Linked DNA regions of Oreochromis niloticus. The protein of the gene in region 1 interacts with the protein of each later gene in a pairwise test. Links are inferred from orthologs where the notes say so. Each region holds a gene or a part of one and is shown in the gene's direction. Other genes may lie near its edges.

Evidence for each region.
Region 2: the proteins of cchcr1 (region 1) and trim54 interact in binary tests that used the Homo sapiens proteins (3 or more experiments, as listed by UniProt). The link is inferred for Oreochromis niloticus from reciprocal best matches to the Homo sapiens genes CCHCR1 and TRIM54.
Region 3: the proteins of cchcr1 (region 1) and washc3 interact in binary tests that used the Homo sapiens proteins (3 or more experiments, as listed by UniProt). The link is inferred for Oreochromis niloticus from reciprocal best matches to the Homo sapiens genes CCHCR1 and WASHC3.
Region 4: the proteins of cchcr1 (region 1) and zfyve19 interact in binary tests that used the Homo sapiens proteins (3 or more experiments, as listed by UniProt). The link is inferred for Oreochromis niloticus from reciprocal best matches to the Homo sapiens genes CCHCR1 and ZFYVE19.

The regions. Positions count from the first base shown.
Region 1 is NC_031975.2:10,915,525-10,923,272, reverse strand, and holds the start of cchcr1 (coiled-coil alpha-helical rod protein 1), read left to right. Parts: upstream 1-4,740; 5' UTR 4,741-5,018; coding exon 5,019-5,088; intron 5,089-5,348; coding exon 5,349-5,637; intron 5,638-5,720; coding exon 5,721-5,888; intron 5,889-6,011; coding exon 6,012-6,129; intron 6,130-6,362; coding exon 6,363-6,557; intron 6,558-6,764; coding exon 6,765-6,928; intron 6,929-7,034; coding exon 7,035-7,149; intron 7,150-7,325; coding exon 7,326-7,436; intron 7,437-7,569; coding exon 7,570-7,590; intron 7,591-7,748. UniProt on the Homo sapiens protein: May be a regulator of keratinocyte proliferation or differentiation.
Region 2 is NC_031980.2:21,569,161-21,576,561, reverse strand, and holds the start of trim54 (tripartite motif-containing protein 54), read left to right. Parts: upstream 1-4,381; 5' UTR 4,382-4,568; coding exon 4,569-4,760; intron 4,761-5,493; coding exon 5,494-5,672; intron 5,673-7,401. UniProt on the Homo sapiens protein: May bind and stabilize microtubules during myotubes formation.
Region 3 is NC_031981.2:14,035,751-14,042,827, forward strand, and holds the start of washc3 (WASH complex subunit 3), read left to right. Parts: upstream 1-4,072; 5' UTR 4,073-4,231; coding exon 4,232-4,282; intron 4,283-5,376; coding exon 5,377-5,475; intron 5,476-5,568; coding exon 5,569-5,634; intron 5,635-5,730; coding exon 5,731-5,862; intron 5,863-7,077. Other genes in the region: zinc finger protein 184, read right to left, coding at 1,594-1,711, 1,785-1,895, 1,971-2,066, 2,145-2,246, 2,335-2,537, 3,023-3,056. UniProt on the Homo sapiens protein: Acts as a component of the WASH core complex that functions as a nucleation-promoting factor (NPF) at the surface of endosomes, where it recruits and activates the Arp2/3 complex to induce actin polymerization, playing a key role in the fission of tubules that serve as transport intermediates during endosome sorting.
Region 4 is NC_031983.2:8,750,084-8,757,953, forward strand, and holds the start of zfyve19 (abscission/NoCut checkpoint regulator), read left to right. Parts: upstream 1-4,867; 5' UTR 4,868-5,048; coding exon 5,049-5,102; intron 5,103-5,188; coding exon 5,189-5,310; intron 5,311-5,406; coding exon 5,407-5,460; intron 5,461-5,549; coding exon 5,550-5,701; intron 5,702-5,809; coding exon 5,810-5,952; intron 5,953-6,098; coding exon 6,099-6,207; intron 6,208-6,336; coding exon 6,337-6,555; intron 6,556-6,720; coding exon 6,721-6,797; intron 6,798-6,967; coding exon 6,968-7,069; intron 7,070-7,154; coding exon 7,155-7,318; intron 7,319-7,551; coding exon 7,552-7,630; 3' UTR 7,631-7,649; exon of another isoform or gene 7,650-7,870. Other genes in the region: bub1bb (mitotic checkpoint serine/threonine-protein kinase BUB1 beta), read right to left, coding at 680-962, 1,449-1,549, 1,634-1,821, 1,920-2,083, 2,173-2,369, 2,456-2,600, 2,688-2,747, 2,843-2,985. UniProt on the Homo sapiens protein: Key regulator of abscission step in cytokinesis: part of the cytokinesis checkpoint, a process required to delay abscission to prevent both premature resolution of intercellular chromosome bridges and accumulation of DNA damage.

The DNA.
Region 1 (7,748 bases):
AAAAAAAAGAAAAGAAACTGTTTTACAACCATAATGTTTTACTCTAACAGGCTTGTTTGCACTATGCACACACACATGTGGGTGCGCCACAGAGGTGGTTTAAGTGAATACCTAGCTTCCCTGAGGCCAAAATACTTCAATTCCCATTTGACTGACTTGATCCTAGTTACAGACCTATTAGAATGATTGCTGTAATCATGTTCCACTCCCACCATTACTATCTCTACACCTACATCATTGACAGGCACACATATCAACTCCAATTCACCACTAATAAAAAAATCTCAACAACATCTTATCGACTGGATCTTGGTAGCCCGGGGCCCCCCCTGACATGAAAAGATTGGAGAAGGAGCCTGTGTCAGACAACAGTGGGCTACCGAGCTCCCAATGCCCTTGTAATTCGACTGGTGTGGATCAAACCCGTTTCAGTGGATTTCCCAAATCCCCCTAATTTTGCAAGGCAATAAAGAGGAGCAGGGATTGGTGTAGGGGGGGGATATCCTCCGCGGAAGGTGTAGGTAGCACTCAAACATAATGATCACTGCTTTATAAATTAATGCAAGGATGCAGACCCAGAGAGAAAACCAAGCCACAGCCCACGTAGCATCGACAAACTGCTGTAGTGTGTGTGTGTGTGTGTTTGTGTGTGTGTGCGCGCGCGCCTCACGTTGTGACTGGGAAGCTTGTTTAATCTAGGTCTAGGACGGTGTAATATTGGATAAAATGGGGAAAATAAAACACCGAGCACAGAAAAGAGCCACTGTGGCAAATCGCTAAGCAATCGCTTTAAAGAACACAGTCAACCCAGATGTCAGTGATCAATCTGAACAAAGATTCATCTCATGGAGAGAAGAAAAAAAAAGCATTAAAAAATATCAGAATCATTAGGTTAACTCACCTGCTTATTCACAAGCTAAGACGCGCTCCATCTCGAGATTTCCTCCATACTATGCCCGTCAGTTACATAAAACAATATGTTTCGTGCGTGTGTGTGAGTGTGAGTGGAATATTTCTCCGGTTTCGGTATCAAACGCGCAGATCTTCACTCTTATCTCCTGCTTCGCACAGTCTGTGTGCTTTGCGCATTCACGACGCCAAGGTCAGGAGCGCCAACGGTTTTAATGGAGCGCCCACCATAGAGATCTCTCTACGGCGCCCACTGCCAGCGCGTTACTAGGCAACCACCGGGATACGCCGGTGCATTAAATTCACCATCCAAAAAACCCGACTGAATCCCAATTTAGAAACCATTAACTAAGCACCTTAACCTCGGACTGCACTCATGGGCGCACACGTTTCGTGCAGAGGTAAAACCCATCTACGACTGACCAAATCAAAAAGTAAAGTGAGCAGGCCTGCACGGAGAGAGAGAGAGAGAGAGAGAGAGAGATCAGACACATTTGCATTGGCAAAAGCCTTTTTAGCAAATTGTGACAACAACGGCAAAATAGAAAATTTTGCAAACCACCCTCCAGTGTTATCCCATGCTTTGCAGCACATGTTAGACCTGATCACCCCTCGTAGCAGAGTCATTAAAAAAATCTTATTCGTACTAGATCTACACTTTTTAAACAATCAGACTGAATATGCAAAAAACAAACAAACCCCCCCCCCAAAAAAGAAAAAAAGACCCACTATAGTTAAATGCTGTGAGTCAAAATGACCACAGGTGCTAGGAAACTAGTCTATGACAGGTAAGGTGGAAAAATATATCTTCCAAAAAACCCAGATCATTCCAGTAATTGTTTTTTGTTTTTCTCTAGCTTGCTGACTTTCTGTTTAAGCACCTGTATGTGGGGAATTGGGCTTATGCTTTTGTTGCATTCAGTGGTTAAACTAAATCTAAAAATATGAACATCACACTAGAATCTGTCCCAACGATACAGATGAGTTATGAGGCAAAGTCTGGGCAGTTGCTGACAGGGCAGACATATTCCCCCACATATCCTTTTTTTTTTTTTTTTTTTTTTTAATAATGCCCAGTGGTCACAGCTATGATGCACAGCTGAGGGATCATTTCTAGACTTCTTGGAGAGAGATGCTGCCCAGTGTAGTGTGCTTCAAGCTGGGTTGCAAATGAAAGCTTTTTAAAGAAATGAAAATATTTTGCATATATGTTGGTTCCCATGCAGGGAACAATACCTGTTTATTACAACGAGTTTCAAATTCATCTGACCACATGAGCAGAGTACTATTGGTTATCAAAGGACAAAAACATTGTAAATCTAACAGTCGCCATTTATTCAATTTTAGCGTTATTTGCCTAACTCAGTCAAAAAAAGCCAGAAATAAATCTACCAGGTCATTTCTTAGTGACCTCTCTAGCCTGAAGTCATCCTACAGCTGGCCTGATAGACCCACATCTTCTTTTTAATCAGTGTTGCCTGACCCTGTGGTTCCAGGTCTGGGTCACACACTCATCTGTCAGCTCCTGCGTAAGATTTGTAAGGCTGCCAGATGGGTTAGGAATGGTCCTGCTTAAGTTGCTTTCAGAAAAGGCAGAGAAATGCTGACCTGACAGTATCTGTATGTACACAGCTGGCAATGCCCTTGTGGTAAGAAAAACAGGTCACTGTCACTGAAGCAGACAGACACATCCACCTGGGAGGGTAAAAGTATGAAATGCCCTGACTAATGAGGAACCAGTTTTTCACAAATGGAGATCTGAGCATTTTAACCAAAAATTTGGGTCGGTCAGTTTAAAATCTAAAATACTGGGAAAATTATAGACCAGTATGGGATTCATGTGACACTCTGATATAATAAAAACAAACATGGTTATCTGAATGATCCATATGAACAACGGCTGAATTCAAACTGAAGAGCGAGGGCTCTAATCAGAAAAGCAAGTCTGCAGAGGTTGGAGAGTTGGCTCAGTGCTGTGGTTGAAATGGGGTTCTCTGTAGGTTCTGCTTGTTCTACAGTTTACCTAACAGAACTGAAGAGTGAACAAAAAGCAGACCTCTTCACCATTGCTTCAAGAGCCCTGCTAGAGCCAAACAAGGAACATTTTAGTCTGGACCCAGATCAATTTGCTGCCTGCCTTTATCAAAATGTCCTTTATAGCTTTCATGTACTACGTGTTTGATGCTCTGCAGGTGGTCAATGCTCACCTTGATTATAGAAACAAAGCTTACATACTAATTCTCTCTCTCCCTTTTGCTTTTTGATAAAGGTGAGTATTGTCTTTCTTTTTTGATTCCCTTTGCCCTTCTCAATCCATCTTCCCCTCTGCGATGTTCCTCAGGACCTATGCTGCAGTGCCCGCCTTGTGGTAAGAAGATACAATATCGGCATGTCCAAACAATGCACATCACTCCTGCTGGACTCCCCTATCCACCCCTTCACCACATTAAGGATATTATACAAGATGAACACTATCATGTTGTACTGACATTCCCTGTCTTTCTCGGTGATGTACCATATCATCTTGCATTTATTTGTGATCATTTATGGAAATGAATCAACCTAAAAGGTCTCTGTGTTGCTCAAAAATGCCATAAATAGATGATATAAAACTTTAATGAACCCCAGGGGGAAAGTGGGTCATAGCAGCAACAGAAAACAGGATATACTGTAGGAAACAGCAAATACAAATGTTTGCTGCAGACACCCGGGGAAAATAATACAACGGGATACGTGAAATATGCTGGTTATCATGACTGTTAGATAGATAATATTAGACAGGATTTTATCTGGAGGTGGCCACATGTGTACAGTTTGTGGATTTAAATCACAAATGTTGTGTGTGCAAAATGTGCATCACTGGAGGAAAGTAACTCATGAGTAATCTACAAAAATTTGCAAGTGCTTCATCTGAATTATATAAGGATACTAATGATTTTACAGTTGTGGGTAAAATATTTATAGACGCCCCTCAACCCCCAAAAATTCTGTTACGTAACCAAATGATCACCAATTGCTATTCAGACCTGCACTTATGAACCTGCTCAGAGTGCCCTTTTCTGCAAGGCCGGCTATATTATGCAGAAATGATGTGGCTGTCAGACACCCCTGGGTGTTCTTGAGGTGAGGGAGTCCCAGGCAAAGAAGGAATGTTGTAATTTTAGGTTATCACCTCATTAAGTGCATTTACATGAGACCCTTTACCACTAATTATCTAAATGATATCCCTTTACATCTAGATAATGCCTGAATATAAATGGCTCACGTAACCACCTCCAAAAGAATGGAATGACACAGACTAATGATTTATTTAACTTATAAATATTTCTCCTATAATAAATATGATAATGTGTGTTTCTTATTGTTGAAACTTGTGGTTTCTGCACAAAGGGACAGGAAAGCTCATATATCATATTGTTTTCATAATTTTTACATTTACTATGTTTTTCTAACTAGTGTCTGTTTTCATCTAAATAAAATATTTTCGAATTTAAATTTGCCCAGAAGGACAGTTAATTTAGTCCTCAGTGCCCCCTCTTCTCAACATATGCTACCCATCACAGAATACCTTCTGTGCTCCACCCACAGATGGTGCTATCATTTCAGGATTACGCCCTGAATTTGGTCTATCAGGAGAGCTCTTCCAGTAGACGCTGCAAACGCTGCACTGAAACGCATACAAACAGGCGGCAATGCAGGGTTACGATTTAGGGGATATTTAAAGGCAGTTTACGTGAAATAAGAACTCCTGCGAGACTATAATTAGGGAAATGAAAACCCAAATACATTTTTACGCTCCTTCCAATTTCCCATGATGCACTTTGGCGTTTCAGTATGTAACAGTTATGCTTAAATAAACCATTTAATTTGTTGAATTTCATATGCATAGATATATGATACATCGAAACTTTAACATGTGGGTTATTTGAACGGAAAATAACGACTGATACGACCAAAAATTGCCCAAACCGAGAGCTCTGAATGTTGCTGTTGTACCCGTAACTAAGGCAACGGTGAAGAATGACGTGACTCGCGGGAGAACAAACGCTAAACGCACCACAGCAGTCGTGTACTGTTTCCTTCCTGTGTGGTGGCAATAGTTATTCAACATGGAGAGACAAACTTTAGGGAAGGAGAGGCTGATAGTGCCCACTGATTTCACCTCACCAGCACTTCCGAGTAAGTTGCTCCTAAATTCTTGTAAAGGTTGAGCTAAATAAACTGTTAATTAGCAAATGTTAGCTTACAGTGCAGCCCACTTGGCGCTTACATTAACTCATGTTTAACAAGTAAAAGTGATTTTATTCTTCAGGAAGCTGCCATGTTTATCTTTAGTGAACTTAGCATAACAAAGGCTTGTTTGCGAACATGGGGAACCTTATATTGGATTAGAGTAGCTAATGCATGCAAACACATAGACACTGTTTTATTTTATGAAGGGGAGACTCCGGAGGACCTCATACCGCCATCGCATTTTGCATCAAGTGCCCATTCTGCTGGAACAAACAGATGTGTTCAAATGCCGGCGACACAGCCACCCATCTCCTGGATAAACCAAGGCATGATATCAGTACCATCATCAGGGGAACCAAGTCCTGCCAATCCATGGCTTGCCATCAATCAGGCCCAACAGGAAATCTTGGAGCTGAGGAAGGAAAATCAGAGGATCTTGATGCTACAAGGAGACAGCATAAGGACCCCTGATTATCGTTCAGATTGTAGAGCCAGGTATATCCACTACATGTTTTATATGGTCTGTCACTTGGGTGGCAATATGGACATATTAATGTGGTCTCTTTCCTTTTATGCAGATCAAAAGACAGAGGAGATAATTGGTCTCGATGGGAATCAGAGTGGCGACTGGAGGCAGAAAAGCACAAGGCTGAAGCAGAGAGGTTAAAGGGGCAGGTGGAGGCACTAAAGGAGATTGCAGAAAGATGCAGGGAAGAGGTCAGAGACAAAGACAACACCCTTAGCAGGTAAGAGATGTGCTTGTGTCATTATGTGACATCTCCGCACATTTAGTATGTAACCTCACATTATGGAGGTCAGCAAATAATGGTTTTGAACAAGCTTAACTTGGAATAACCTTTGCACAACAGACACAGCCATGAGATGGAAGCAATACATACGGATCTATCCAAGGCTAAGTCTGAACTCAGCCAAATCAGAGAGGAGCTCAGTTTCTGCAGCGCACAGAAGGAAAAAATAAGCTCACAGGTAATGATGTTTACTGACAAAACATTTCATTTCGACACTCTTGTAGACATACATCACCTGAGAGTTACTGGCATTTTCTAACTTATTTTGGCAGTTTGCAGTTAAATTTGTTTTTGTACAGTTTTGTGATCCCAATAAAACCTTTTAGTCACCTTTAATTTAACACGTTTCACAATAATAAGGTTAATAAAGTCTGCTTTTTCTGTTTGTAATATGTCTGTTTTTTCTCACAGCTTGAAAGACTGAAAGCAGAGTCTGATGAGGAAATTACAAGGCTGAGGAGAGATGCTGAAAGGAGCAAAGAAGAATCCCGGGAGCTTGCTTTGAAGGTTGAAATGGGCAGGTTGCAGGCTGAAGAGGAAGCCAAACAACAGACTCTCAGACTATTAGAGCAACTAGAGGAATTTCAGAACAACAAGGAGGTGGAGGTGTGTTTAACTGATCATAAACATTGTACTTGGGTGACCTCCTTTAGGATTAAGGGCCTTAATGCAACAACCACTAAGTATCTCTAAGCAGAACTCTGAGCAGTTCCTTTCACTCTGACTTTGCAAGTAATGCGAGAATGTGTAATTGAAGATGAATAAGTCATTATGTCCCTATTTGTCTGTGTCTTAAACTTTCCTAATTTTCAGCTGCAACAGTTGAATGCATCCCATCATGCAGAGTTGGATGCAGCACAAAAAACAAATGGTGAACTACAGGACCGACTTCAGTCAGTGACCTCAGAACTGCTGCAGCTAAAGAACACTCTGATGGAAGTATCTACTGAGAGAAATGGACTAAAAGAACATTTAAGGTGCTTCATTCAATCTAAATCGGAACAGAACTAAAGCATTTAAAGCACTCTGTAGTCACTGTTTTGTGTGTGTGTGGTGGGGGGCATGTTGTTGTTTATTTTTCAGCCAAATGGGACAAGCTTTTGAGACACAGTCTGCTACATTGCAAAGCCTCAGAAATTACATCGGCCAGCTTGCACCAGAGAAAGGAGAGAGGGAACGATTAAATGAAGCTGTTGAGGTAGAGGCAATATAAACAGTATTGATCGTAATGAGCATACTGCAAAGTAACTGCATGGGACTTTCAAATGTTCTTTTCACTAGGGTAAAGGAAGAACAGTAAAATATGAATGAGTTAATGTACAAATTATATAATTAACTCTAATTGTGTGTAATTTAATCTTGTCCATTTTGCAGAGGCTGAACAAAGAGAAAGCTGCTCTTCAGACAACTGCAGAGCTTTTGACAGTCAGGCTTAACTCTGTGAATGAGATACTCGCCCTCCAAGAAGAGAAAATGGTGAAAAAGGTGAGTGGTTTTTTTCTTTCTTTCTAAATTTACATAGCAAAACATGATACAAAACTGTGTTTAAAACATCTGGTGATCAGCAGCAGTCCAATGTGAAACCAGCAGATGCCTATGATTTTGTGTTTTCTCTAAGGATGTTTGCGGACCACGTAAGGTAAGAAATGTCAAACTGAATATACATCACAGACCACATTGAGTAAGCTGGACTAGTGAAACACACCTTTCTTTCTGTGTATATACATTTAACTACACATGTAATATCTGAGATATCCTAATGAGAAGAAAGGGCCATTTTTGTACATAATAAAGAAA
Region 2 (7,401 bases), on another chromosome or scaffold:
ATCATCCACTTTGCACTGATTTATTGACTTGTCTGAAACTGATTTTCTTCCTTGACTCAAAAGCTGTAATGGAAGGCAGATGAAGCCCAATAAATAAGCAATTTACTTCAACAAAAAGCTCAAAAATACAATGGGTTGCGTCATAAGTGTACTCAGAACACATCATGTTAAGCATTATTCTGCTACATCTCCATGGATGGATGAATAGATGGCTTTGGGCGTCTTCTGAAATGACAAAGAAACCTTTTTTTTTTTTTTTTTTTTTTTTTAAAGAAGTAGTTCAACATTTTGGGAAATCTGTTTCATAAATGTATTTGCTTCAATGCTTTTTGCCAACAGACTGTAAATAAAAGATGGGCGTCGCCACCTCAGTGTCAACCTTTGGGTTAATGAAGGCTTGAGCCGAGGGGTTTATCTGTTTTTGCCATTTTTATGATTTGAAACTGTGCATGATGAATGAGGGGTGGGTCTGACTAAAAAACCAAGGACATTGCACAATCATAGGTTAGCTACTTGTCAATTACAAAGTAAAACAGCTTCTGTTTTGTTAACGAGGTCACCACTTACAAACTGGACCCATAATTAATGTGTGGAACTAGCGATCGAGGCCACGTGTTTAATCTGTAAACTCTCACAGATTAAAAGAGCGTAGAGCCATTTCCTTTAGACATCTATACAGTTGTGAAACCAGAGTTGCTGCCCCCTGTTGGCCACTAAATGAATGACGTGTTAAGGCCCTTCACTGGCTTAATTTTGTTAGTGTTTTAAAATGGTATTGATGAAACACTAAATGCATTTCCCAAAATGTTCAACTCTTTCTTTAGTAGTGCATATTTTAAAATGGAGATGTAAAAATTTGAAATTGTGAGTCGAAACAGAATTTAAATTCACATACCAATATTATTTTTCTGTAAGTTTATTTTGTTTTTGTTTATTTTCCCCTCTCTACAAAAGAAAGGAAAAAGAAGATAAAGCAAAAAAAATCCCACTAACCTCATTTAAGGTCTTTTTTTTTTTTTTTTTTTTTTTTTTTTTTTTTTTAGCAATGACTCCTATATGTCCTCTTATTTTTTTTGATGTTACTAATACTTGGCTTTTTTACTGCTTAGTCTCTAATTTAAATAAAAAAATGATATTTTGCTTCCATGTTATTTTTAGATTGTTTTAACGTTTTCAAACCTCAAACATTGTTTACTGACATCACGTGGAAGCTGTTCAGTTGTTGTCATGTGGAGCGTTATAGTCCTGTGTAGAATACTAATGCAATTTGTTGTTGTGTTTTTTTTGTTTAGTTTTTTTAACATAAATTTTGCTCTAAAGGTTTTATATCTCTGTGCTGGCCAAAACTATAGTCACATCTAAATTCGGCTTCTAAAACTCTTCTGTATTACTCGGTGTGTTATAATAAATGAATGCAGAGCTACGTGTACGACCATATTGTGAAAAAACAAACCAGCTTTGATAAATTTTTACCAGTCACTTCATATCTGCTCTTTATTTACATATCAGCTTGTTTCTGAGGGAAACCGTCTGCAGACTTGAAGGTCATTTGATTTCATGTCATAGTTGTTTTTAATCCATAATAATATCCAAAAGTGAAACAGAGCACTTCATTTTTATTTAACGCTACATCATTAGAGTTTAAACATGATGATGGAGCACTCAGTCATACTGTTTCGTTTTTTTGGTTTTTTTTAAGTGTTATAAGCAACACCATAAAACAGCAAAATGTTTTTTTGTTTTTTTTTTTAATTCTTACTATTAGGCGACATCTTTTATGAAAGGATTTAACAGAATTGCTTACTTGAATGTTTGACGCTAACATGTCAGCATGCACTGTTTGGTAATACAACCACTGGCATATGCTAAAAACAATTAGCGCTGAGCTAATTTCTTTTTGTGGATAAGCTGAGTGGTTGAAAAAAAATGTTGCATTCATCTTTATTAAGAAGAAGAAGAAATGTAAAAGAAAGTCAACAAATATAGAAGAATTGGAGAAAGACATTTTTGGATGAAACTGGGGATTGATAAATAGGAGAGCTGACTGTTGTGGTTCTCTGTGGACGAACATGTAAAACTTATTATAGAAACCAAATAAAACAACAGGATTTTATAACTTCTAGTGTGTAACTTTGTCTTATGTTTGTGCTTGTTTAGGAAATTATGTCAAGGGTTACACTTTTAGTTTTTTAGCACCACTTAAGAAAATAAGATGCATAAAGCTACTTTCAGCTTGCTCCCTGGCCACAAGGGGTCGCCACAGAGGCTCGCTTCATGATCTGTGTTAAGTTATATTGGCTTTTTGTTGTTGTGGTGGTGGTGGTGGTGTTTTGTTTTGTTTTTCAGGCTCTTCCCGATGCAGTAAATTTAAAATAATACTGCAAAAAATGGTGATAATTGAAAATACAGAAAAAAGAAGTAATTGAACCATTAGTGAATAATAAAGAGTAATTCATTGTCATCAGAGCCATCAATATGAAACAACTGCAAACAGTACCAAGAGAAAAACATGTGTGGTGGTGCTGGTGTTGACAACCATGATCACATTTATAAACACTAAAGCAAAGCTTATATGACAAATGAATGAGAGCCCAGTTGTATTTGGTGCTCTTAAGGGTGCAGGATGGGTTTTCTTTTTAATTAATGAAAAGTTTGTTGACAGGAAGGTAATCACAGAACGGTAACACGGAGGTCTTCAGCTTGAATCCCTGTGTTTGTATGTTTGGCTCACTCTGCAGCAGCCCTCCGCTCCGGACTATTAATAGTCCTGTTAGCCCATTAGCAGCTTAGTCCTGCCAACTCCATTCTGTTGATTAGCAAATACTTCAGGGTTTTGTTTTTGTTTTTTTGTCTGTCCCTGGGAACAGACCTCACTGCTGTATGCTGACAGGTTGAAGGCCACAAAGGGGTCTCTGGGTCACATTGTGGACGAGATCAGGCTTAGGTTCTGCATGAGTAATCAATTATAGTTTACCAGGTCAGAGCCTAGCATAAAAGTGATTGTACAACAGTTAATTCATAGCTACAGTGACAAAAAGAACATGTCCTGCCTCAATGTGCAGCATACAGTGAAATACAGATTCAGACTGCTTCATACATTTATAGACTTTACTATTCTTAATTTTAGGCCAGTAGTCAGCTTTCCTCTGCTCTTTAACATGACTGCATAGATAAACTTCACGTCTTTAGTATTAAATATTAATAATCACAACACATTACTTGATTTGTCTGATCACATTTTGCCCTCATATTAGTTAAAATGACTTGAGTGGTCCATAATATGATGTTGTTGTAGTTGCATCATAGTTATAGTTTGTTAAGTTTAAGCCCCAAAAAGAAATTCCTCAGCTGTCCCATCCTTTGATGCCCAAGCTACTGTATAAATGTGATATAATCTGAGGTTTTCTTGCACATTTGACACAGATATTCAATAAATGCTTTCTCCTGAGACTGAGGGTGCTGAGGTTAAACAGTAGATGGTGCTCTTGAGTCAGTTATCTATTCTCTGACTGATATTTCTGTATTTATATTGGAGTTTAAATGTCCTGTGAGCTGTTGTTTGTTTGGAGCTGCTTGGCCAGCGATTCTGTTCAGCTTTTTTCTTCTTCTGCTTCTCATGCTTGATGACTCAGTCGCACACCTTACATTTATATATTTAGTAGAGTGGAAAATTAATATAAAAAAGCAAAGAACCAAACTAAAATTTTAACTTTATTAGGATTTCTTTTAACAGTTGAACCATTTTGGTAAGATTTTTTTAAAAAGATGTTGACTTCTTACTGAATTGAATGTCGCCAAGAAACTTAAATCAGCCGTGGAAAAGAAAATGCTTTAAATGTGTTGACTTGTACCCGGCTCATTATTTAGCAAAGCTTTGTTGACTGAAGTTTGTTTTTAGAGGTTTTAATATTAAATATCTTTGATTAAACAATATTTTCACCCGAGTACACACTTTGCTTTGCTCCAAATAAGAAGAAGGCTTGTTGGAAACATACAGCACAACAAATACTCCACCTTTCTGACTAATCTCCTGGTGAGATTAGTCAGAAAGTTGGATGAACAGAGATGTTGCGCACTCGGCGTGTTCTGCAGGAACAAACAGACATCTAAGTTGAGTAATGCTTCAAGCTGTTTATGCCAGCATGCTAATCACCTGAAACTTTGCTGTCACAGGTTGCATTATGTCACCAGGATCCCCTCTGAAGTATCAGACTTCATAAAAATAGAATAATTTGAACCCAGATACCGAACCCTGCTGTGATCCCCTGCCACGCCCAGACTTTCAGGAACGCAGTTTAGACAGTAACCCAAGCCAGAACAAACTGAGGAGCTAAAAATACCAACAGAGGGACAGGCTGGCTGCTGTGGGCCTGAGGTGTGTGGGAGGGTCTTTACTTGGGCTTTAGGCAAGCTGGCTGTGGCATAAAGCGGTGGACATGGACAACTGTGGTTAGAAATGGCGTAACAGCTAAGTGGAAAATACTAAAACCAACTAACTTTACAGCCATTTGAGAGTAGAAGGGCAGAGCTTCCTGACGTCTTTGACATCTTCCTCACTGCCGGAGGTGATGAGCTTTGCTCTCGGCTTTAAGCACCCGACAGCAGGCAGCTCTGGGCCCGGTGCTGGAAGCGGAGCCACCATGGAGAATCTGGAAAAGCAGCTGATCTGTCCCGTCTGCCTGGAGATGTTCTCCAAACCTGTGGTCATCCTGCCCTGTCAGCACAACCTCTGCCGCAAGTGTGCCAATGACATCTTCCAGGTGAGACTGAAAGAAAAGAAGAAGAAGCCTTCGGGGTTTTTCAGTATTCAGAGATTACACTGTTAGTTTTAAAGGTTTTAGTTGGAGTTCCCCTTTATCTACACATCCTCAGAGTCTGCAGTGACCTTAGATTCACAGCTACAATGTGATCGAGTGAAAACCCAAACAGACAGTATTTATTTTGTCCTAGTCCACTCCCATGTTAGCAGATAGTATCTGTATATTAAACACGCTTTTGAAATTTAGAAATCACATTTAGTCATTTATCAACACCAACAACCTTATCTCAGAGGCTTTTTCTAATGTAAAAATATTTTCTTTCTTATAGATATATATTTTTTCTTTCTTATATGCAAATATATTTTTATTTCGACCTAAAAAATCTAATTTAGGGGCACAAAACATTGCAGTTAAATGGCCAGATGTCACGGCACACCTAACATCTGGCTCATGGAAAGTGGATCTGTGGCTGAGCTGAGGCCTCGACTGACGGTGCTGACTCAGGGTGAGTCAGCACCGTCAGTCGAGGCCAAATGTGGCCTGTGGAAAACTGCAGATGTGGGTCACATTTATTGCCATCTGGCTACCGATTCTTCAGTTTAATAAAAGTCAAAGCAGAGTCTTCCTCTCTCTTCACTGATACTGGGTTCATATGTGCAACCAAACAGAAATCCACCAGTGAAGCAGTCTGAAGCAGTTTGTTGTTTGTTTTTTCCCCCCCTCTTAAATCCAGTCAGCTAATCCTCTGTGGCATTCCCGTGGTTCCTCCAGTGCGACGGCCAGTGGCGGTCGCTTTCGCTGTCCGTCGTGCCGCCATGAGGTGGTGCTCGACCGCCATGGAGTCTATGGCCTCCAGAGGAACCTGCTGGTGGAGAACATTATCGACATCTACAGACAGCAGGAGTCCTCCAGGTGAATGACCCAGAGAGGGAGGGTTGAAAGAAGGGGTAGTAACCCAGGCAAATGTTTCTTTTAGTGAACTTTTTAAATCATCACATGTACATATTTGAGGGGGCACACTAGCATTGTAGCGATGTCTCAATACAGCCACAGGATTGCTCTGATGAAGCTGTGCCTCTTAATTAATGAAGTCTAAGCAGAGTTAGGCTTGTTCTGTTTGTTTTTTTTGTTGTTTTGCAAATACCAGATACAATGGTATGTTGGAGATAAAATACTCAGTTTGAGACAGTTTTTTCTTCTCTTGCTTCTGTATGACATCATTGAGAGGGTATTAATAATCTGCTCATCTCAGGCCCAGACTCAGTGGCCCAGACTCAGAAGCCACACCCACCTACTATTCAAGCTTCTGTTTGCAGGAGCCGGCCAATCAGGAGAGAGATGTCTTGAAGGGAGAGAATCTGAAACAGCATGTTCAGTTTTTGAATCCACCTTTCCAGTAATATTTGTTAGTTGTATTAAACCAAAGTCAAGTAGTTGTACCACTGGACACCCAAGACAACCTCTGTTTATATTTCTTGTTGTTACTATGGGACTCACCTTCCTGTGTCTTCCTCAGAAACATTTATCTCATTAAACCAATCCTGATTCACTACTAACTGCCACGTCCAATCCGGGTAAACTCACAAAAGTTAATCAGTGCAAGTTCATCCAACTAATTTATTTTATATTACATTATTATTATGTAATGAGATTAATACAAATCTAAGTAATCAGAAAAATCATAAAAATTAAACATTATACTGTTTGTAAAACTTGAAATTCTTCGTTCATCGTTTAAAAACACTAACATGTTTATCGAGAGTGCACTTAGCTGTAGTAATGAGTGACTGCCTGCAGAGAGCAGCATCATATTGTATTACAGCAGGTTTGTGGGTTTGCATGTTTGTCAGCAGAGCAGAGGTGATGTATGCATATACTGTATGTTGTGTTCTTGTTTATTGTGGCTGATATGAAGTATATTTAGCAGTAATGACAAAGCCATGCATGCTTACATAATCAACATCATCATAATCAAATAAACAACATTTTAGCGTTCATTTTTGGGTGATTTGTCTCTCCTTTATTCCCAGAGACATATTTAAAGACAAAATCAAGCACAAGTCACTCAGTTTTGAAGTACTGACTAAAATATGTTAGCCAGTCTTGAGACACGTGTCGGTTTTATATTTTATTGTATTTTCTTTATTGGTATATTAATACATTTTGATGCACAGGTTGATGATTACAGGTGAATGATGTGTTGTGTGCACAAGGAAACATGTTGGAAATATGAAGAGTGTCTTTTGTATTGATACATGAGAAAAAGAAACTTCTGATGCTTTCGCTGTAGTAACAGATTGTTACAGATTGTTGCAGTAACACATTCGATTTTTAATAATAGGTAGACAGAAAGATCTTTACTATTTAGATTTTTGCTGAAGAAACCCAAATTCTGAACCAGATCTAAAAGTAGAGTCGTTTTCTATGAGTGTATCAACCAGAATCAGTTATCAAATATTTCCCCAGCATGACTCATGTGGAACCTGATACTGTAACTGTTCCACCTGAGTATAACCAATACCCGAGCACTGTAGAAATGATAGTATGACAGTTGTTTCCACACGCATGCACTTTGTATAAAAAGTAAAGCGTTTCAAGCAGCAGCCTCTTTACTACATCTGCTCTCCACACTTACTACAAC
Region 3 (7,077 bases), on another chromosome or scaffold:
AAACCTTCTCTTCAAAACATTGAACCTGAGAGGTCACCTAGGTATAATCTCAGGAACTGTAATTTAAAGTTTGCTGATAAAAGCATTAGGAAGTCACAAGCACCTCTATATTTTGGTGTCAAAATTATGTTAACATACTGTAATACACAATTCACTTAAACATGGCAAACAAAAAGAGGATTAAATAAATGTAGTTTTGTTTATACAAATTGCGTTTTTTTTAAAATTTCTTTTGGCATAAAAAAATATTAAAATAAAATTAAATAAGATTAAAAATATAATTTATTACATTAGGAAATGTCACTAAAATAGCTTTGTCACTTAACAGCCATCAGGTCACCCGTATCCCACTTTGAGTTAAGGTTGAGTTAATATTCACCTCTCTTCGTGGAATTTTCCCTGTTTGGAAAAACCAAATGGAAAATCCCATCAATGAATAACTGCAAGGCCAAAATGTACGAAGGAGACTTCATTTGAAAAATAACAAATTCTAGTTTCTGGAAATTTGCTTGTTTAGCATGTGAGTGAAACATCACCTAACCCCAAATGGTTTGCTGGAGATTTGGTGGGTGTTTAGAGGTTAGATAATTCAATTCAATTTTATTCATATAACGCCAATTCAGTCGCCTCAAGGTGCTTTATATTGTGATTGAAAAACCCTCCAATATTAGAAAGAAAACTGACAATCATGAAACCACCTATGAGGACTTTGGAAGAAAAAAAAATGTGTTTAACAAGATGAAAATCCCGCAGAACCAGGCTGAGGGAGGTGCTGTCACTTCTGTCACAGTTGGGGGTGAACGGAGGAAAGCAGGACAGAAAGCAAACCAGTCTAAGCCTATTGCATCACAATCAGTCCACTAGGGTCTATTTGACATAATCTGGTCATCAAATAGTGATCCTGAGGGTCACATGGAGATGTCTGCATGCCTGCCTAGTTTTTGGGAGTGTGCTGACTTTTCTGCGGGAAATTATATTGAAATGCACCAACTGTACATGCATACCAGGTGGACTTCAAGTGGGCTTTTAATAAGTAAAACAGGAATGACTGCTCGGCTGTTGGTGCTTTAGCTGTTCCTGTCCATAACAGAGTAAAATCAAGGCCTAAGGGAGGATTCAGAGTCACCTGATCCAGCTCTAACTATAAGTTTTATCAAAAAGGAAAGTTTTAGGCCTAATCTTAAAAGAAGAGGGGGTGTCTGTCTCCAGAATCCAAACCGGGAGCTGGTTCCACAGAAGAGGGGCTTAATAGCCGAAGGTTCTACCTCCTGTTCTACCTCTAAAAACTCTAGGAACCATAAGTAAGCCCGCAGAGAGAGGGCAAAAACCTCATTAGGTTAATATGATACTATTAGGTCTTTAATATATCACAGGGCCTGATTAAGATAAGCATTATATCTCAGAAAGTTCTGATAAAGTGTATTACTATGACACTACAAACCTGTTGCTATGAATTTATCCACTGATCTTGAAATATTAAGAAGTGAGAACTAATTATGCAACTTTAAATCTGACTTTTTAACCCAACTATAATGATGCAACATCTTGCTTCATAGTTTTGTTGATTGTGAAAACTGCTGCAGCTCTACTTACATGCCATTTTCAGTAGTCCTGAACTTTTGTAGTGCTGGTAGATAAAGCTCAGATCTTCAGTTGACAGCTGAATGCATTCCTCCAAAACAGAAGGAGCTGAGTCCAGCCAGGCTACAGTCTGTAATCACAGCACGGTGTTAATATAACCTGCTGAAAATCACCTGAAACACTTATGTTATCTGACTGAATACCTGCTTTAGGTCTGGTACTGGAAGCAACTTTTCCAGCTTGGAGAGCAGATCCCATAATAACATATTTAGTGCTGAGTCATACTGTGGACCGTATTCCACTGGAAACACTTCCTGTAAGATAATTAGATGTTATTTTTATTCTGAGCATTTTCAAGCAAAGATATGAAATACTAAAATATGTCCTACCTGAAAAAAATATGCCCTCTCAATTGGATCTTTCAGCAGACTTTGAACCAGAGCGACAAAAGTAGACTCTGTTGTTTTCACCTCTGCATCTCTATACTGCAACAAATTAAAGTGATATGTTGAAAAAGGTACTGGGCACACTTTATTTTATCCGCTTCTCTTTAACGTACTTACATCTGTGTTTTCAGAGGTTACTGGTAGTCTGTCCAAATGGCTCTGGATTGCTTGAGAATCAACAGAACCACGTGTCGAGCCTTTGCAAAGCTCCAGTATCAACTGAAATATCAATAAACTGAGTTTTTACAGAAGCAATGCAGCAAAATAAACATACATGGATGGCATGCCAGCCAGACTACCTCCTCACCCTCGCTCTGAGTCCGAGGATGAGCTGGGCTCTCTGCCTGTGGCTGATCAGACCAGGAATCGCCTCTGTCACTGTGAACACGAACTCCTGCAGCTTCTGGTAGCTCATCACATCTTTCTGCTTCACCAGCTGCCACATGGAGGCAGACAGAAGCTGCAGAGGTGGCACCAGGAGTTGGAGGGATGAGAGAGACAGGCTTGGATCTAAAACATAAAGGTGTAATGTAACAAATGGTCTTTAGAGGGCAGCAATCAGCTTTAAACTCCAGAACTCACATTATAACAATACATATATGTTATTCATTTAATTCAGTGCTGCTCATATATTACTAAGACAATAATTTTCTTAGGTAAAGCAATGACACATATGTATTTTTTGCCCTGTATTTAAACAGCCACAAGCTTGGGAACCCGAATAACTGCTGGACAACCCTTAATAAAAGGAGTTTTAAATTTCGATTCTTCAAATATATCACCAGCTATGGTTTAGATAATACATTAAGCATAATACTTGACAGAATAATAAAAAAATCAGAAAATAATTGATTGATTTTTTTATGCTAAAGCTTAAGTTTGACAGCGTGTGCATATCACGATTCCTTTAAATAGACGGCACCCGCTAACTGTGTAACTGGCATAGACAAAGCTTACTTTATATCGCAGCTGGTTCAGATTGCCACTGTACCCACCGCTTGTTTTCTCTGCAGAGTCGAGAACCTCCATGGATGCACTGCGCCTCTCGTGGCGTCGAAAATTAGGTGTTGAGTTGTATTGTTTTAGTTAGCAGCTAACATGCGCTGTTCTTACGCAAGCACCGTTTCCTCAACGCTTACACTCCGCTTCCGCTTTTCAAAATAAAAGTAACAAAGTTGACAGGCGACTTGTCTCGCTGACATTAATTTCTTACAGTTTTGTTTTTAGTTGGAAGACAAGATAGGACAGACTTTCCTAATCCTAAAAATCCTAAAAATTTTGTGTTTCCATTGTTACATCAATTAAAATTAAGTCCCTCTCAAAGTAAACATTGCATCTGCATATTTTTCCCAGCATGGAGCTATACTGCTGCTTACTGATCGTCACCTCTCTTCTTAACCTAGCTTGAAGAATTCCTTCTCATAGCGTCACGGTTTGGCACATCAGCCTTATCCCTCAGTAATTACACACATCACCCTTGTTCTTGGCAATCAGTACCACGATATTCATGTCCATGTAAAAAATAACAGTAGATTGTAATAAAGTAAATATATCTCCTATCCAACAAAGCAAGATTTAAAGAATTAAAATTAGCAACAATATAACTCCAAGTATTCTTTTAACTGAGATGTTTTTTAAATTTAAAAAGCATGAACATTATTTGATAATGAAGACCTCATTGTTTGAGTTCATTGTTTTGCTTGCCTCCTATCATCTGTTCATTATTTTTGTTTTCAAAAACCTATAAATAAATAAATAAATAAATGCAAATTATATACAACAATAGTATTTTTATGGCTAAATTACAAGTAGCACCGAATGGAGCAAGAGTTCAACTTTTACTTTGAAGTAACACCCAACCCACCACCACCTCTTAACTTTATTTAACACAAACAATTTACAGAAAAATACAAACATGGCGGTTGAAGTCATATATTAGTGCATATAATTCAGATAAAGCGGGGTACAAGAAAAAATACAGGGTTAAAAAAAATACAGGCTCGAGGGTTTTTGAAGCACGACTTCGAAATAAAAGGCAGCCTTGTGCTACGCAGTTGATGACGTCAGGACGTGATCACGCAGCCCAGAGTCACGTGAACCGTTTCACATATGCAAATGTTTTAATAACCCGTTTTCGGTCGTTTTTGCGGTGAAATTTCTTGCTGCTGAATTTGAAAGTGCACTTTAATCTTCAGCGATCCAACATGGACGAGGACGGGCTGCCCATCGTGGGCTCTGGAGTCGACCTTACCAAGGTTGGCGTTGACTAGTTAGCTAACATAGCTATTTGAGTAGCTGGTGAGGAAATGAAAGCAGGCACAAGCAGAGCTGCTTGACATATGTTTTGTTTAAAAAGTAAGATAACACAAAGGCTGTTTATCGGTGATAGAAGCCTATAGCTTGTAAGTCATTAACAGATATGACTGTCACAAGCTCTTGTAGTTCAATTTCCCTGATAAATGTGTGATTTTGTTTTGAAGTGAATATATGTTGTTTCTACACTTGATCTTCCAGGGTAACAGATTTAACCTTTGCAAAGAGATATACTTACGCTTATCTTTTTAAAACAGTTTTGTTTAAAATAAATCTATGAAGTGAAAATGTTTGTCATTTGTATAAATAACTGTTTTTCGGGAAGGGATGCTTTTTATTTTATTAACCGTTCTGGGTAATATTAGCTAATCTAAAATGCTATTTTCCTCTTGTGAAATATAAGTGGTATATTTTGCATTCAGCATTTGAAGTTGCCTGTGAATGACTGTCAGCATGTTAAACTTGTTCTAATTATATTTTTTTCACAAGAATAATAAAAAAATATTTTTGCATCACATTTAAAAGCAAGATGCTTTACCAAAAAACTGGTTAAAAGGTCATAAAAGACAGAAAATGAGAACATAAAAAGAAAGCAAAACATAACAATAAAATATGAAATGGCATATATATCGTTTGGAGACAGCACTACTAAAGTTGTTAAAAAGATGAAGATGTTCAGATTTTCATTGGGAGTGATCAGGGTGGACCTGGAGACAAGGCGGACATGTTTTGGATGTGCAGAGGAGGGATATATTGGACAAAGGGTGTTAAACATGGAGCTGCCAGGCAGGAGGAAAAGGGGAAAGACCACAGAGGAGGTTCATGGATGAAGTGAAGGAGGGTGATTTTCAGGGCAGGGTGAAGTGGAGGTGAATGATCTGCTGTGCCGACACCTAAAAGGAGTAGGGGAAACGTATGCAGCCTAGGGAGGAGAAGTTGCTTTAAGGGGAGATTGGACTGGGAGTTGTTTCATTTCCTTGTTATATTACACTTATGATCCTTCTACCTTAAATTCCTTTTCCTGTGTTTCCTTCAGGTTCCTGCGATCCAACAGAGAAAAATTGTTGCCTATCTCAATCAGTTTGTTGCACACACAGTCCGCTTCCTTAACCGCTTTTCCACAGTGTGTGAAGAGGTTTGTTTATCTTTGTTTCTTCTGCTCTCGTCATGAAACAAAAAATCTCTGTAACACTTAAATCCTGAACTGTTGTATAACGTCTTCCCACAGAAACTTGCAAACATATCTCTTCGCATACAGCAGATAGAAACCAGCCTGTGCATTTTGGAGGCCAAGGTGAGTTCTGAAGCCTCTGAAGGCTGCAGTGCAACATTATCTTAATTTCATGCCAATTTGCTTGATATTTATGGAGCAATATTGTGCTCTGTGTAGTTGTCTTCCATTCCTGGACTGGAGGACGTCACAATCGAAGGACTCGGTCAGCAGCAGACTGCACAGGCCAATGGACCCATCATCCCCAATCAGAGCCAAATCGATGGTCCAGTAGCAGCGCCTCAAGGAGAGGTACATACACAAACTCGTACACATGGAAACATAGCTCCATCAAGCTTCGCTGAACTGCAAAGTCGAGGATTTTTTTTTTTTTTGACAGTTTTAAAAATAAACCTGTGAGCAGACAAAGGTTTCAAAGCACCCCCAAGACCACCTAATTAGAACTTAATATCTGACCTGTTTAGTCCGTTTTCAACTTGACAACCCCACATTGAAAGAGGCTTCTCTAATGTATTTTTGACATGATGGGAGCCAGAGCAGCTTTTCTCTTGACTCTCAGGGTAACTCAGTCTTTTGTATTTGTTGTACAGACGTTCAAGTAAAGTTTTCCACTGTTTTGACTACAGTGTGATGATGTCCCACCACATGTGTTTTTATTTTTCTTCCTCTAGATGAAGAAAGGGAATATTTCCATGGAGCTTTATCTGGCTGAAGTTCAGCTGTTTCCAGAGTAGCTCTTTTAATGCAAGAGAGCCAGTAAAGAGAAAAAACTGAAGTAGTTGGAATTGTTGAAGACAAGTGAAACTTTGTTGTTCTTTCTTTTTGGGAATCTAATTTGTCAAATGTTAGTGGTTTTGATGATCTCCACCTCTGTTACTGAAGTGAAAATGAAAGAACTTCAAAGCAGGAATCTCCCACTTGTATGATTTATATCTACCAGTGAAGCACCTTTAAAAAAGAGCCACATGAAAATAGTTTAGGGTAAATGAGATGATGAAAAGAGAATAAATGTTATTTGAAAGATCCCTTGCAAAGAGGACCTCAAACAGAAAACTTTTACAGGCTTTCATTTCTCTTATTGTGAAGCATTTGCAGAAACATGTTTTGGAAAAGTCAAACTTTTTTTATTTAAAGACAAAACATTCATCTTTTTACAGTTAACACTTCATGTGTTATTCTACACAAAAGAGAATAGATGAGACAGAGAGGGCAACAAATCTCTGGAAAAGGGGAAAAAGGACCTGTTTAAGTAGAGAAAGGTGTGATGAATGACTGAATGCCAAAGGAGATGGTCTGACAGGGGAAGATTTATTTAAACTAAATATCATCACTGAAATCCTGTACTATGAGGTGCCACAGGGCTCCATATTAGGACTGTTGCTGTTTAGTGTATTCATCAATGATTTTTCCATTTGTGTATGATGGTGTTGCTGGGAGTGTTGTATGTACATTGTAATGTCTTTGAGCAAGTTGCTGTTAACTTTTTGAATGGTGAATGCTAACTTA
Region 4 (7,870 bases), on another chromosome or scaffold:
CTATGCTTCCCCTTGCAAGCCCCCTGCTGACAGTGCATTACTACAACCCCCTTTGGTTTCTAAAAGAGAAATTAACAACCACCAGTAATTGGTTTGGTTATTGTATCAAGTTTATTGGACATCAATGTTACATGGCCTGAAAGGCGCATGTACTCAAGTGTGCGCATGAAGCCCAGCTGAAGTGTCTCACTGAAACCCATTTTTGACTGTGTTGGATTAGAGTAGAAAAATCTGCTCAAGAAATACTGAGCAAGAAAAAAACAAAAACAGAATACATACAAAAAAACTGCTTAAGAACAATGGATGCAAGCAGGAGTGAAAAAGGAACACATTTGAGTAGTCGCTTGGTAGCTAAGGCATGCACATCAGTTCAGTATCAACATGTATTTACATCTATGTTTTTTCTCACGCTAGTAGCATTTTTACTAGATTACATTACAGTGTACAGGGGTTCCCATTATTTGGTCCAACCACTGTATTTGCACGAATCCAATACACCTTTTAGTGTGTCTTCAGCTCCCAGGGTATCCCCCCAAAAAGCTTTTTTGTTTGTTTATAAAGCCTTCTGAGTAACTGGAAATCTATGACAATATTTACATCTGGATGATGAACAGTCACTACATGATCTAGTCAAAAATGGTAAAAACTCAGAAAAGGAACTAAATCCCATTTGGAAGCATCAGTTTGCAGCACCAGCTGCAGCTTCATCCTTCTGCCCTTCCTCTGATTCTTGTGCCGTCTTTTTGAAGAACCGTTCAGCTCGCAGCTCCTCAAAGCAGAACTCAGCAGCACCATTTAGCAGCAGCTCTTTACAGTACATGCTCTGCTCCTGTTGTTTTCCCGATTCTGCCTCCTTCTGCTGCTGCTGATGGTCCTGCAGCCTTTTGAGAGGAGTCTCCTCTCTGCCCGGCTTACGCGCTGACAAAACTGTGTTAACTGCTGGGTTGATCTTACATGGAGTCCTGAGGGAGGGACAGAACAATGCACTTACATTCGGGTTAGGAAGACACTAATCAACATGTGACATGAATATAATATTTAGCAGGTAAAACAATGACATAAAACGGCAGATAAAAACTGGATCTTTTTCTGATAAATGCTACTAAAAATGTGAAGAATGCTAGAAATACTTTTTAGAGGGAACTCAATACTAAACAGTTTCCCTTAACTGAAAGTATTTATGTTTGTCTATTCATGTTTGTAGGTGCCTCCAGAAAACTGCACCTAGACTGAACAAGCGAATGATATGACAACTCAGATGAGAGAGGAAGACTTTTTCTATTTGTTTATTTGGGCTTTTCAATTAAATGTGTGTATACATCCACAGATCTTGGTACTCAGGCATTTCTGTCTGTTGTCTCTTCGTCTGTTCTTTTTTTCCCGGTCAAAATAATGATTTAAATTAAAAGTGAATGAATAAATAAATAAAGGTATTTGTAGTAACTCACATTGTAGGAGGCTGATCTGACTCCTCCACAAATGGTTGGAAAGTGAGTTTGGGAGGCGGCGGAGCCATAACAGTATGCCCAAATTTGGACTTCTGGGGCATCTATGACGACATAAAAAGAAAATTATGAATCAACTTTGCATAATGGCTTTCAACACACACGACAATGAGCCTGTTCTCCCATACCTTCACATCACACCATCGCTCGAGCTTCTGCTCGTTCTCCTTCGCCCTAGATGTGGGAGGAGCCACCCAAGCTTCCAATCTAGGCTCCGATGGGCCTGCGCTTTGAGCCTTATTCTCGTCAAAGATGACCAACCGACTGTTACTGCCAAGAACAGGGGCGCCTTGTGACTTCAGGCCACCGGGAATACCTGAGTACAAACCCATTATGTTTTTCCCAGTCTTAAAGCACTGTTATCATCGATGTAGTATTTTGAAACAGATTTTATTTGTATATTCATGTGCTTACTTCTGATCGCAGCCCCTGTTCTGTTGACGGGGGCGACAGCCTTTTTCTTCCCTCTGTGTTTCAGATCAGCTAGAGAAACTCTCTCGAGTTGCTTAGGCTCATCATCACTGTCTTCCTCCTCCACATTCATCATCACCTGCCGGGAAACGCGTGCCTGCAGTGCCCTGCGAATATAAATACAGAAAAATGTGATCACTGTAACAACATAACAGAGATATTCATTTATCAGAAACTATACTGGAAGACTCCATACTTGTGAAACTGTAGGAGTTTATCATGTGGCTCAGCACTCTTTCTGAACCCCTCTTGGTAGACCAAGTCTGCTTTGCGGAAGTTGCCCTGATCCTCATACTCCTCTGACCAAGCGATGTAGAGGGAAGCTTGTGTTACTCCAATTCCTTGTGCTTGCATGTATCTGTAAATTTCCAAAGGCTCTTGGCAGTTCTTCGCCTGGTGACATGTAATAAAACGTTATAAATGCAGCATTAGTTTGTCAAAGTAACAGAAATAGTCAGAGGTTATACTTTTGCACTCACAAATTTGATCCAGAGGTCAACATAGCGGGGGTCATTGTGATAATGTTTCTCCTCTGTAAATCTGGTCACGACTCGTTCCAGCAGTGTGGTAAGGTTGCTCTCCTTTCCTCCCTGGGGGAAGGTTTGTTCTGTCCACTTAATATACCTGGAAAAATAAAACCGTGTTAGGATTACAGGGAAATTTAAGAGCAATGCTTATGAGCACACTTGGCTATTGACATATTTCCCTTACCGATCCCAAACACTAAGTGGATCATCGCCCTCGTATGTGCGCAACTCAGACTCAAATGCCCTGCAGAAATAAATATCCACAAGGTCTTTTTTCATCATATGAAAAATGCATGGAGAAATTGTACAACAATTTAAGTTTAAAATAGCCATCCATACTGTCTCTGTTGGTTGATTGCAGAGGTGGGTCCATCTTGTTGTTGACTCAGCGCCTGATGTAAGGCCGATATGGCTCTACCCCGCCTCAAAGGCTGGATGTTTTCTTTGCTGAGCTCCCATTCCACATCTCCTCCTTCTGCCATTTCTGAAACAGAAACTAGATACATACAGCAGGAGAATTAATTATTTGATATTTATCCCCTGCTGAATTTGTAATTAAGAATTAACCAGAACCCCAGAAAAAAAAAAACTGCAAAGTTTTAAATGGATTTGTTATTTGTTATTGAGTTAAATAAGTACTTGATCCCCTACAAACAGCCAGAAGTCTGGCTCCCACTGATTGGCTTTGTGCCCATGTGGCACACAAATTACAATCAATCAATTACAGATACCCTGATCTCAACTCGTTATGTGTATAAAGCACACGTGCCCACAGAATCAGTCCTGGATCAAAGCCATTATTTCGCCCTCTGTATACACACATTTAATTCAGTTGCTTGGGCTTTTTAAGTCGTCCTATTTTTTTCATTTCTAATCTGTAATCTAACTTTAATAAGAAATCATCTTATGGGCAAATCAATAGAACAATAAAAATTAAACTTAACCCTTTAATGCCTAGTGTATCATATTTGACACAAGAATTTTTGAGACTACTACATCATCAGTGTGTTCAGATTTTCTGAGGTGGCCTTCAGAGTTTTATCTATGCTTTAAAAATCTACCACAATGCTGTTGTTTCTCTTTTTTCCCCAAGTCTGCCTGGATAAGCCTTGACTCAGATCGTAACTTGAGGGAGGCGTTGGGTGTGCCACTAAATCATCCTTTTTATAACTCAAAAATATTGCTAGAATGCAACCTTTTATCTTGGTGACTCTGACAAACCAGTTTTATATACATAGCAGGCAGGACTACTCTAAGGCTCTGCTATCTGATCTACCTAAGATCTCCTTGAGTTGATTCAGATATCTGCTGCCAGACTTACTACGACCAAAAGGAGAGGACACATCACACTTGTTGCAAAGTCCCAACACTGGGTGCCTGTCAGTTTCTGTATTGACTTTAAAATCCTTTTATTTAAATCCTCTAGCTGTTGCAAAGTGCAAGACAAAAACCTCTGGGGAGGCAGCTTTTTCAGTGTTATGCCTCAAGCTGCTGGAACAGTCTGCCAGAGGACCTGGATGTGTTGAAATCTTTAAACTTAACAGCCCCCTCCAAAGCCTAGGTGTGACTGAATATTCTTTACACACAGCCCTTGTTTTAATTTCATATAACTTCTTTGCTTTAAGTAATATGTAGTTTCATTCAGTTTTTATTTAGCCTTAAAATTATTTAATTTTTCACTGGTCAAGTCTGTTACTTGTTATTTCGTTTGATGCACTTTTGTTGTAGTTGTATTTAATTTTAAATAACTTTTTTGATGATATACACAAAGTTTATTATTACCTCTGTATAGCTAAAAGTAATAAAAGTATATATTACAGTTACTGTCATTATAATTGTTTATTACTTAGTCCTTTTGTGTGCGAACTAAATGGCATGGTGACCAAGAGGCATACTGAACAAGTTTTAGGACAACATGAGCTAACGATGCACTTCGACAACAATACATTTTTTAATAATGATGTGGTAAACTGCCATCGTATTACAAACCGTGTGACAGAGACACAAAATGATGTTTAATGCAGCTATCAACACTCTCCCTGCGTTCCTGCTAACGTTAGGAAGTGCATGCGTTTGGAGCTAACACACTAGCTAGCTAACGATAGCTTTAGCCTGACCAACTTTAGCAATGTTTCCATCGACGACAAATTTTCCTAGCTGAATTAAAATAGACTTTCTACAAAACGTGCGTGTTCTATACCGCTTCCGAGCCTCCTTTATTTCTTTTCTAGGTGACAGCTGGAACTCCAACGTTGTCGCAGTAAACCTGTTGAACGGTTGTGTCTGTGTTTTGAACAAGGACCGCCAGAGGTTTTGCAGTATTCTGATTGGACGATTCGGAAAACCGGAAGATGCGTATGCATTACGTCACACCTCAGCTTCCGCGTTGCTTCCTGTTTTGAATGAACACCTGAAAATAGTTGCTAGTAGCTAGCTGCCAGATTAATGCTCACGACTGAGTGTGTTTTCTTAGGCATTTTAACCCACTGTAGCTGTATCGATAGCATTAACATTCCCCTACCCATGAGCCTCTGCACGTGTCGGTATGGACAGTCGATGTTATTGTTGTGCGTCCAAGTTTAGCCTCTTCAAGAAGGAGGTGAGTATTTCACGGCTAATGCTAACCACATAGACATACATAGGGGTACATTTTGAATAAAGTGATCTGTTTACTGTTCGTCATAGCTGGGCTGTAAGAACTGCGGCCGCTCCTTCTGCTCCAGCTGCTTGACTTTCAGTGCTGTGGTGCCTCGCTGTGGCAACACCCAGCAGAAGGTCTGCAAACAGTGCCATGGTAATCTGACCAGGTAACGCTCAAACCCTGCAAGGAGGAAAAAAAAAACTAAAAGTAGTTTTGTTTTGGCTTTGGAGCTTCTCTCTTATTTAAAATTCTTTCTTTTTAGTGGGCAATCTTCAACCAGTGCTGGCAGATGGTCTCCTCCAGAAAACTATAAAAAGTCAGTGTATATGATCAAATAAGGGAATGACTTAAACTTTGGCAGCACAGCAGTTTCATAATATCTAAAGTACACGTGTCTTCCATTAGACGGGTCGCTGCACTTGAGGCCAAACAGCAAGGACAGCCGACACAGCCTGTGAGGACTAGCAAAGCAGGACATCCACTAACCAGCGGCCTGAGCAAAGAAGATCAGGCGATTGCTGAAAGGCTTCAAAAGCTCAAGGAGGACACAGCACCTAGTAATAAGATTTTTAACAGCTCTCATTTTTATTTAATCTAGCAAGTGCAGTATTATTATAATATTTTCCAAAATAAGGTAAGGAGTAAGCTTTTTGCCTTTTCTTCAGAGTCTGTCCCCTCTGACAAAGAGCTCAAGTCCCGACTTGCTGCTCTGAAAGCTCCCAGCAAGCCAGTACCTTCTGCAGAAGAGATGGAGGACCGTCTGGCCACTCTGCGGGGCCTCCCTCCACCATCTCAAGCTCCTCGACCTGTGAGCTGAATCTCTTCCTGCTTGTTTGTAACATCTTAGGCCTTACAGTACAGCTCAATAGCTTCAAATATTTATTTAGAGGGAACTCAATACTAAACAGTTTCTCTTAACTCCAAGTATATATGCTTGTCTATTCATGTCTGTAGGTGCATCAGCCTCCAGAAAACCGGACCCAGACTGAACAAGCCAATGATTTGATAAGTCAGATGACAGAGGAAGTTGCAATTGACAACCAGCAATCAAATCCTGAATGCAGTAAGATATTGCATTTCTCCCTGATTTCACCTGCCTTAAACCAATAAGTAATGAGTCAGTCATATCATTCATTCTTATATCGTAAAATTAATAAACCGGTACTGAACAACACTGTTATTAAATCTGAAGGTGTAGATGGCCGTATGAATGATCTCAATAAAGGTGAGGCAGGTACACTGGATGAGAATTTGGAAGAGAACCAGGATGCAGCCAAGCAGCTGGAGGCTGAGAAAGCCCATCTGCTCGAGGAAGCTATGGAGGAGCTGAGGAAAGAGCGTCACTCTCAGGATCAGATCCTCCACATGGCAAAGAGGCTGGCAGAGCTGAAGGGGCAGGACCCGGACAAAGGTGAGTTATTCGAGCACCATTCACCTCACCTTATCTGTTATCCACTGTTTTACACTAGTGTGTCATAAAATACGATAAGGACGTGCGTTGTAAATGCAGTTTCCATGACAGAAGTGCTAGTATGCTAGTGTATCATGCCCCATTTTCATTGTGATTCATTTATAGTTACTATGGAGGACTTCCAGCAACCTGACAGTGAAGAGGAGACTGAAGAAGAAGCTGTTATGAGAGTGTTAAAACAGGTGTGGCAAAAATAACCATCAGATGATAATGAACTATAAATAATTTGTTCCTGCATACATCTTACACCCCTAAAGGCATGAGTGAACTAATTCAGACCAGTGTGCCTAGCCACAAGGGGCTGCTATTTTGCCAATTTAATCACTTCTTATTTTTTCTTGTATTCTTTCAGCTCTCAGAAGAAACTGTACTAGATGAGGCCAGTGGCTACAACATACCTTTAGAACAGAGTGGCCCAAGGAATAGGGAAAAGAAAAAATCGTCCAAGAAACCGGTACAAAACCACACTTGAATTTTTTATTTTTTTAAAGCTACGTGAGTGCATAAAATTTAAATCCAGATCTGATTTTATTGTAAAGGCTCCACCTCCGGCACCTAAGAACAGGAACCTACCTGCTGCTGATGCACATCAGCAATCAGACAGTGATGAAGAAGAGCTTCCATGGTGCTGCATCTGTAACCAAGATGCCAGCCTTCGATGTCACACCTGTGATGGAGATCTGTACTGTAACCGCTGCTTCAGGTAGTATGAAATGCATTAATTATAGAAAGAAAGAAAAAAGCCTAGCTTTAGACTCATGGTTGACTTTTGCATGGAAGCCTTGACTGCACACAAAAAAACAAGATCTCTGTGATTTGGAATGCATACCATGACCCAGATAAATTGCAGGCAAGCTGCTGCCCTACTGTTAAGCAGCATGAATATAAAGTATTTAGTCTGATGAATTATCAATCCATGCTTCATTATGTCCCCAGGGAAGGCCATGATAAATATGACAGGAAGGAGCATCGCACCACTAACTACACTGCGCCAAAGAAGAAGAGGAAGACATGATAGTGAAGCTATGCTGCAGGTGATTGTTAGAGTTAGGCCAGCCATCACACTTAGACTTGTTCTTTAGCCTTAAGTGACTTACTATTGTTAGAAAACAGTCTCTCTAATCATCTAAAACAAGCCACAAACCATCAGAACTCATTAACATATTTTATTCAGTAAATGCTAAGGCTGAACTAATTGAATGGCGCATAATAAGAAACTACTGGTAATATTTCTTGCAAAGCACCGGCTAGATAA